2 linked regions of the Nothobranchius furzeri genome follow. Each later gene encodes a partner of the first gene's protein in a complex. Links are inferred from orthologs where the notes say so. Each region holds a gene or a part of one and is shown on either strand. Other genes may lie near its edges.

The links. The genes of interacting proteins can lie anywhere in the genome.
Region 2: the proteins of agk (region 1) and timm29 are in contact, whole or in part, in a cryo-EM structure (PDB 7CGP), measured with the Homo sapiens proteins. The link is inferred for Nothobranchius furzeri from reciprocal best matches to the Homo sapiens genes AGK and TIMM29. Residues at the interface, in NP_060708.1 of Homo sapiens: His33, Asn36, Arg39, Arg40, Cys43, Gln44, Gln47, Asn51, Lys82, Pro86, His89, Leu90; in NP_612367.1 of Homo sapiens: Tyr145, Gln146, Cys149, Arg150, Tyr151, Leu152, Gln153, Arg155.

Annotation. Positions count from the first base shown.
Region 1 is NC_091744.1:88,194,907-88,199,153, forward strand, and holds the start of agk (acylglycerol kinase, mitochondrial), read right to left. Parts: upstream 2,801-4,247; 5' UTR 2,298-2,800; coding exon 2,188-2,297; intron 2,116-2,187; coding exon 2,076-2,115; intron 1,979-2,075; coding exon 1,899-1,978; intron 1,813-1,898; coding exon 1,737-1,812; intron 1,667-1,736; coding exon 1,541-1,666; intron 1,439-1,540; coding exon 1,344-1,438; intron 1,222-1,343; coding exon 1,152-1,221; intron 1,027-1,151; coding exon 947-1,026; intron 866-946; coding exon 808-865; intron 547-807; coding exon 399-546; intron 312-398; coding exon 214-311; intron 128-213; coding exon 57-127; intron 1-56. Other genes in the region: nuclear pore complex protein Nup205, read left to right, coding at 3,493-3,675, 3,824-3,995, 4,195-4,247. UniProt on the Homo sapiens protein: Lipid kinase that can phosphorylate both monoacylglycerol and diacylglycerol to form lysophosphatidic acid (LPA) and phosphatidic acid (PA), respectively. Does not phosphorylate sphingosine. Phosphorylates ceramide.
Region 2 is NC_091758.1:12,736,166-12,740,121, reverse strand, and holds the start of timm29 (mitochondrial import inner membrane translocase subunit Tim29), read right to left. Parts: upstream 2,801-3,956; 5' UTR 2,692-2,800; coding exon 2,586-2,691; intron 1-2,585. UniProt on the Homo sapiens protein: Component of the TIM22 complex, a complex that mediates the import and insertion of multi-pass transmembrane proteins into the mitochondrial inner membrane.

The DNA.
Region 1 (4,247 bases):
TAACTGATTTTAAGGCCTCTGAAGCATAAAAGAATAATCAAAGAGGAGCTAGTGACCCTGCAGCGATGAACTCGCCAACGGTGAAGTTGTTGGGCTCCGCGCAGATCAACAGAGAGTCGTTTATGCGCTACAAATACAAACAAACACATGGACAAAGATGAGATCTGATGGTAAACAGAGTATGTAGCAGCAAGGCTTTTGAAGATCACTGACCCGCTCCACTGGGTTTTTGTTGTGGGTTTGAATATAAAGCTCCAATGTAGACAGCTGCTGCTCTTCCCACTTCTCTGGCTCTTCCACTTTAGGAGGTTCTGAGCAAAGAAAAGACCAAAAACAAAGATTAAAATAAGATTGTTGTGTTCTAGTGCTGGACTTTCAGAATAGTAACAAACACTCACCTTTAACCGGCGGGTTCCAGTAGTTCTTCAGTCTGCAGACGATGCGGCGAAGCAGGTTCGGCCTGGCGGGCTTCTGAGAGGGCAGGTCAGGGGGCCGCGGCGTGGGAGCCAGATAGAAAATGGACACGTCTCGGACCAGAGGCCACTCCTAGACAATATTTATGAAAATTACCCAAGTTTATGATTTACAGGAACATAAAATATCTAAGGCTCATCTACAATATGTGAAATAGTGATTCAGTGCTCCGATGATCAGAAAAATACTGAAAAACTGACATATTTCCTTAGAAAATAACCAAAACATTGACTTTACACATGTACATTAAAAGAAAAGCTACACCAGTGAGATGACATTGCAAAATCAAGTTTATATTCCTTTGTGCAGATTAGCCTGCAGGATCTTTCTCACCTTCAGAGTGTGAAGCCAGTGTGCTGCATTTGCCTTCAGTGGTCCAAGATACCAATATCTGTGTGGGCCAAATACAACTGTAAGACGGTCTCATCAAATATGAAATACACAATCTTTGTCACCATCTGGGTGAATTTACTTGCTAATTCTTGCAGCTACATCTCTAAAAGCACCCCAACGCAATCCAACCAGAGCAAAGACGGGCTGCTCTTTCTCTCCCTGCAGACAAACACAAATGCAACACATCCATCATATGACTTCGGTACACTTGTATAGTTAATGAACCCCTGAAATCGGCATCGGAGACATGATTGTTATGCTATTCTGTGTAAACCATCTCTTACTTTGATTTGTAGCACATCCAGAGGAACCGTTTCTCCTTTCAGAATGGACAGTGTGGCTGATGTGATATTCCTGAATATTCAACACAATGTAAAACTCACACAAGGAAATCCATTCGTCAAACGAAAGGCCATAAATACATGATATCACATACTTGTCTCAGCTATTCAGGCTTTTTTACTCGTATTACTTACTTGACTTTGTCGTCACTGAGAAAATGAAGACTTGGACTTAAGGAATTATTAGAACCCAGAGGAATGAATCCGATTGGTGTGTTACTGAAGGTTTCCTGTTGTCAAAAATAAACCTGTTGTGCACTTTCTACTTGATAATAGCTTTTAATAAAGGTGTAACACAACATAACAGATAACCAGAATTATGCTACACTTGCTTGATCCGGTCTTCGCAGTAAACCTGTGACGACCTCCTGTAACGTCCCATCTCCTCCAGCCACGATCAACATGTCTGTCAGTTCCATGAGCTCCAACAGTTTCTTTGCTTGACCTTCATAGTCTGTCTGTGGAAAAAGACTGGTGTAACACTCGGTTTATGCCAATCCTTATGATCAATGGTTCATTTATTTATACCTTGACTACTGTAATTTCCACTCCAGCCAGGTGTAAAATGGGGGCAGCATTCTTTTCAAACAAGCTGTTGGCTTTCCTGAAAACATTTGGGGAAAGGGAAAGTGTTTGTTTTGGGAAAGACTGTGCTGATAATACAGATATGTGACTTTTATAAGTTTTTACCCATTAGATGCTGCAGGATTCAAAATCACTGTTGCTTTTTTCAGACCTTCGTGTGGTGCTATTTGCTGACGTCCAAATTCCTAAGTAATGATACTTAGAATTACAATTAAAATGAAGTAAACTGCTATTTTGATTCTAATTGTTTTGAGGGCAATAAAAAATGAAGTTATACTTTACCCTGGCAATTTGACAAGCCTCTCTGCGCACAACGCTTTCACTAAAATACAAGGTACAAGATTTTTGAGTGGCAAACAAACTTAATGCGAGTAAAAAAATCTAATAAACTCACCAGTGTTTACCATACAGCCAATATCCACCATAAGAAAGGACGCACACAGCTAATGTTGATTTTTTCCAGTGATTTCGAAGAGTCCGAAACACTTTTACTACCCGAGCCATAACACTTCAGAGACCCCTGTCTTATTAATGTACAGAATTTATAGTGGAACAAATAACTGAAAATCACAAATTTCTACCAGAGCGGTCACAGAATAATGCTGCATGGAAATAGTGGTGTTACGTTTAAAGAGTACGGAGCAAAACAAGGCGGAACTATTTCTGACCTTTCTGACGGAGAATGTAATGGGTAATATGTTTTAGCAAAAATCTAGTGTTGAACTAAATAAACATATCATATTATTTGAAGAAAGAAAATCAACCATTAAGTAAATTTAAATTATTTCTCAAATATTTTTTCAGGCTACGCAAGAAAAGTTTACTTCCGGTAGCTTCAACTTTCGAGGACCTCGCCTGATAATTTTATACTAAAACCACATTTTAAAGAAATTACTATGACTTATTAAGTGACTATATTTTACATTTGACGTTTATTTTTAATAGCTGAGAAAATATATTTTGGAACTTTTCATAAAGTATTTATTATTTTTTGCATTTCACACCGGCAATAACTTAACAGCTGCTGTCCAAAACGGTCTGTGTGGATCATGGCGGCGCCGATGGCGGTAAATTCAGGTAATAATTCTTATTTCTGAGCATTTTTATGCTGAGAGACGTTTTTTATCAATATACCCTGAATCATAACACACGTATAAAGACATACGTGTTAAATCTTGTGAGTAGCTTATTGGTATTTAGTAGTTTTAATTGCACAGTTGATCTTTTTAGGTTATGACACGGGCTGTTAGGCTACTTTAGCCTAGCCTTACTCATGGCTGAAAAACGTTGCATTAGCTTGTTTTGGTTGTAGACACATTGACCAGACCTCACTTCTACAACAAAATACGCGAAAATATATGAATTGCACATTTAGAAATTATATATATATATATCAACCATATATAAATATGTCCCTACAATTGTTAGCGGGTTCAGTTGACGTATTTGCCCACTACTTGGAAATAAAACTGAAACTACAAAAGTTGATGATTGTTTTCGTCAGTGAGGAGTAAATAAATGATGTTGGTCACATTAATATGCTACCATTGTGAGTGCGCGCGTTAACTCATCGTGTAGATTTTTTGCGCATTTTATGTGAAAGTAATTTCATCACTTTTGCAAGGCTAGGCTATCTGTCTGTCTGTCTGTCTAATGTTGCGAACGAGTACGGTTATAAGAAACTTGCACGCAGAAATCCATGTTTTTTGCCTGCATATATTATAAACTAATTCGTTCAGGAGCCAGTCTGTGGGGGCCACTGAAGGAGCTATGGGAGACAGTAGATGGAGCTATACTGAAGAGACAGCCAGAAACTGTCCACCTTCTGGATCTGCAACTGAAGAAACACAAACCACATTTTATGTCACTCTTTAAGAATGTGGTGAGATAACAGCTCTCTTGTTGAAGTTATTCAAATTAAATGTTTGAGAAATGTTCTTTTAACCTTTACATTTGTTGTTGTTACCCAATGTATAGATTTATATTGAGACATAGCTTTTTCAAACACATGATTTTCCCAATATTTTTAGCCAAAGAGTGCAGAGCAGAGGGAAAAAGTACGCAAGGCCAGCACAGAAGGCATCGCCATTCAAGGACATCAGGGTTCACGTCTTCTTCCAGAGACGCTCCTGACGGAGGCCTTTATCCTCAGTGATCTGTTTGACATTGGAGAGTTAGCAGCTTTGGAGCTTCTCTTGGCAGGTAGAGTGATCTCTTAAAAACCAGCTTATAAGTTACATTTTTGAAGGGAAATTTGTGACTGCATAATTTTGGTAGAAATGCAGAAACAGTCACATTACCTGTTACTAAATATTATTTTTTTAATCAAGTGTGTGATTTGGAAGGAAAGATGAAGGCAGTCATGAAATAATTAACAGAGTGTACTTTTTTGTTCCACCAGGTCAACAACAACAGCCCCATTTTCCAGGCCTGACACGAGGCCTAGTGGCTGTC
Region 2 (3,956 bases), on another chromosome or scaffold:
CCGGGTCAGGTCTGAGGCACCTGGTCAGGTCTGAGGCGCCTGGTCAGGTCTGAGGCACCTGGTCAGGTCAGGTCTGAGGCACCGGGTCAGGTCTGAGGCACCTGGTCAGGTCAGGTCTGAGGCACCGGGTCAGGTCTGAGGCACCTGGTCAGGTCTGAGGCACCGGGTCAGGTCTGAGGCACCGAGTCAGGTCTGAGGCGCCTGGTCAGGTCTGAGGCGCCTGGTCAGGTCTGAGGCACCTGGTCAGGTCAGGTCTGAGGCACCTGGTCAGGTCTGAGGAACTGGGCCGGTCTGAGGCGCCTGGTCAGGTCAGGTCTGAGGCGCCTGGTCGGGTCAGGTCTGAGGCACCGGGTCAGGTCTGAGGCACCTGGTCAGGTCTGAGGCGCCTGGTCAGGTCTGAGGCACCTGGTCAGGTCAGGTCTGAGGCACCTGGTCAGGTCTGAGGCGCTTGGTCAGGTCTGAGGCACCTGGTCAGGTCAGGTCTGAGGCACCTGGTCAGGTCTGAGGAACTGGGCCGGTGTTCCGGGAATTCCTCCTACCCCGTAAACCGTCCTACCCGTCGTTCCTGCGCATGCGCACAACACAAAAAGGGAAGCAAAATGTATCCGGCTGTGATTTCATGCTACTCCGTTGTCAGATTTGCAGGAAAATAGGTAAGTAGTTAAGTATTAGTACTTTTTATTGATTTATTTAAGACTTTGTGATTGTTTGTCAATATTAAAGTAAAGTCGCTATCTGCTTTCTGCACAAAACTGTCGAATTTGCAGCTTTGGTTAAGTCTGCTGTGGTTACTGGACATGTGGTATTTGGACAACACTTCTGAATCCGCAGCTTCGGTGTTTTAAGGCTGTTTCGGTAATGTCGCTATTTAATAAGTTAAATTATTTGCATTGTTAACTGCACATATTGAAGCTCAGAAGAAAATGTCTACTTACATTCATAGATATGGAGAAGAAGTGGGAAGAGATTTACACATTCATTTCTGCGAGCTCCTACCCTTCAGGATATGACAAGGCTCAGAGGCAAAACCTCAGAAGATATGCCTCAAAATTCAAACAAAAGGGTCAGTAATTTATTGTTAATCCTAACAACTCATATATGTGGTTACATTAAATTCTAAATATATATTGTTTTACTGCAGATGAAGAACTCTTTGTTGGAACCAGAAGAGTAGTAAAAACCATGGCTGATGCCAGGAAGATTTTTCATGAGTTTCATTCATCTCCAATCCGAGGACACACTGGCACACACAAAACGCTAAATGCAGTGTGTTCCAGATTTTACTGGTTTGGTATGACAGTTGACATTAAATTTCTTTTTCAGTTCTTTGTCCCTGTGTTCTGTTGGATCTATAAATGTCAAATATATGTATCTGTAAATATATTCAGTAAATATATACTGTAACTATAATGGAGTGAGTTCATTGTCAAAGTTTATATAGTCAGGTGTTCCAATCACTTCAATGGTGACAGCTGTATAACTTAAGCACCTTGGCATGCAGACTGCTTCTACAAACAAGTGCCAAACCATGCTATCTTTGTTATTATAAACTACAAGCATAAGAATTACGTGCCAAAACATGCTACCTTTGTTATTATAAACTAGAAGCATAAAAATTACGTGCCAAAGCATGCTACCTTTGTGAATATGACCTACAAGCACACTTTAATGGGTAAAAAGAAGTGTGAAACCGTACTGGCTTTATGAAAATCAGCTACAAACATACTCTGGCAAAGTTAAGTGGTAAACTGTCATACCTACTTAAATTTGTGCTGGAATTATTGTTTGGCAGCAGAAATGTGCATAAATTACGTACAGTAGGACGTTTTGTCAAAGTAGGACGTTTTATCAGAGGACACCGTAAAATTATCCTACGGGTAGGACGTTTTGTCAAAGTAGGACGTTTTATCAGAACACCGGTCTGAGGCGCCTGGTCAGGTCAGGTCTGAGGCACCGGGTCAGGTCTGAGGCACTGGGTCAGGTCTGAGGCACCGGGTCAGGTCTGAGGCACTGGGTCAGGTCTGAGGCACCGGGTCAGGTCTGAGGCGCCTGGTCAGGTCAGGTCTGAGGCACCGGGTCAGGTCTGAGGCACTGGGTCAGGTCTGAGGCACCGGGTCAGGTCTGAGGCACTGGGTCAGGTCTGAGGCACTGGGTCAGGTCTGAGGCACCGGGTCAGGTCTGAGGCACCGGGTCAGGTCTGAGGCACCGGGTCTGGTCAGGTCTGAGGCACTGGGTCAGGTCTGAGGCACTGGGTCAGGTCTGAGGCACCTGGTCAGGTCAGTAAACTGAACCCAATTGTTTGAAGTGGTAGTTTAACTTCCCCTCATTCTGACTAGAAAAACTCTACATCATACACACAAAACGTCTAATTTTACCCTCTTCCCCTAAAAAACAAGCATAAAAAATGATAATCATGGAGAAAAGTGTTCCACAAAGAGACAAAAACCACACTAAACTAAATATGTCTAGCTAGGTAAGCCTCCAGCGCAGATACGTCTCATCCGCGCCGATAAATTAACCCATTTCATCTCAAGTGAATTGCTTCATTATCCGGGCATAAGCTGGCTTCCCCCCACGAAACTCACCCGCTTTACTGGTTTTTAGTTTCTCCCAGCGGCCAGCTGGGACGGAAACAGCTCCCGTTTGCGCCGCAGCACAAAACATCCTCCTAGCAGACCGTAGCGAAGCCATCGCTGCTGGAAACGATCACCTTCAGCGCCTCGACGTCCGCTGGAGCTCTGTGCTGGAGCTCACATGGAGCCAAAATGGCGACCATTGGTGTCTCGGCTTTAGCCCTCCGACAGGAAAACTAGAGCTTTAAGCGTTCCGCTTGGCAGGACTTTTACGGAAGTCAACAAAGAAAGAAGAAACAAATTATGAGTCAGAAGTCTTTCAGCCTAAAATAGCCCACTGTGTGTGTGTGTGTGTGTGTGTGTGTGTGTGTGTGTGTGTGTGTGTGTGTGTGTGTGTGTGTGTGTGTGTGTGTGTGTGTGTGTGTGTGTGTGTGAAAGAGAGAGAGACATGGGTGATGTGAAAGCTTATTTCTTAGGCAAACATTTAAAATCTCCAAAAGTTAAGTGGATGTGATGAATCTAAATATTACAGATGTTATTATATTAGAGATTCTATGACTTTACATCATTTCCACCTGCCCAATGTAGTATACTGCAACGTTTTTGTAAGTGGTTACTTTTAATAAATTGTCATAGAATATAAATGTATTCAATAAAATGTAATCGTGCATAAAAAGTTGGATTATCAATATTATTGAGCTTTTAATATTCGATTAATGATGAAACCAGGTACTTTGGGTATGCCAGGGAAACAACACGTTAATAATTTGACACAGAGGTAATAATATAGTTTATAAAAATCAATTTATTACTATATTTCTATTATCAATGATGATGAAAGACAAATTATTGTAAATGGTGATTCAAAGTGATATTAAATGAGACAATGAAGGAACTCTGATGAAACATGACCTTGTAAGAGCTTCACTAAGGGGCTCAGACAGGTGTGATGTCTGGGTTTATAAAATAAATCTGGCTGTTTGATGTAATTTAACAAGTTAGTAAATTAATATCAGCCTCTCTGACGCCATTGAATAGCCTACCTTACACACCAGGACAGTAGAAGTTCTCTGCAAGTGAAGCTGTCTCTGCAGAGCGAGTGAGTGGACTTCTGAAGTGTCTGAAGGTCGTAGGGCCTCCTCAGAACACGCACGACTGGTCGAAAAGATACTTCCCAGGTGGCTTCTGACAGACGGTTTCATGTCTGATGAGTAGGTGGTGGATTGAGCAGGTAATAATTGATTGATTTAAAAGGATGTTTCTTTAAGCTGTTAAAATGATTCCACTGAAAAATCTGGTTGAGTCTCCACAGGATGGTTATTTAGCATGAGCTGAGTGCTTTGGATGAACTCTATTGCAAGGCTAGGGAAGGTAAACAGGAGT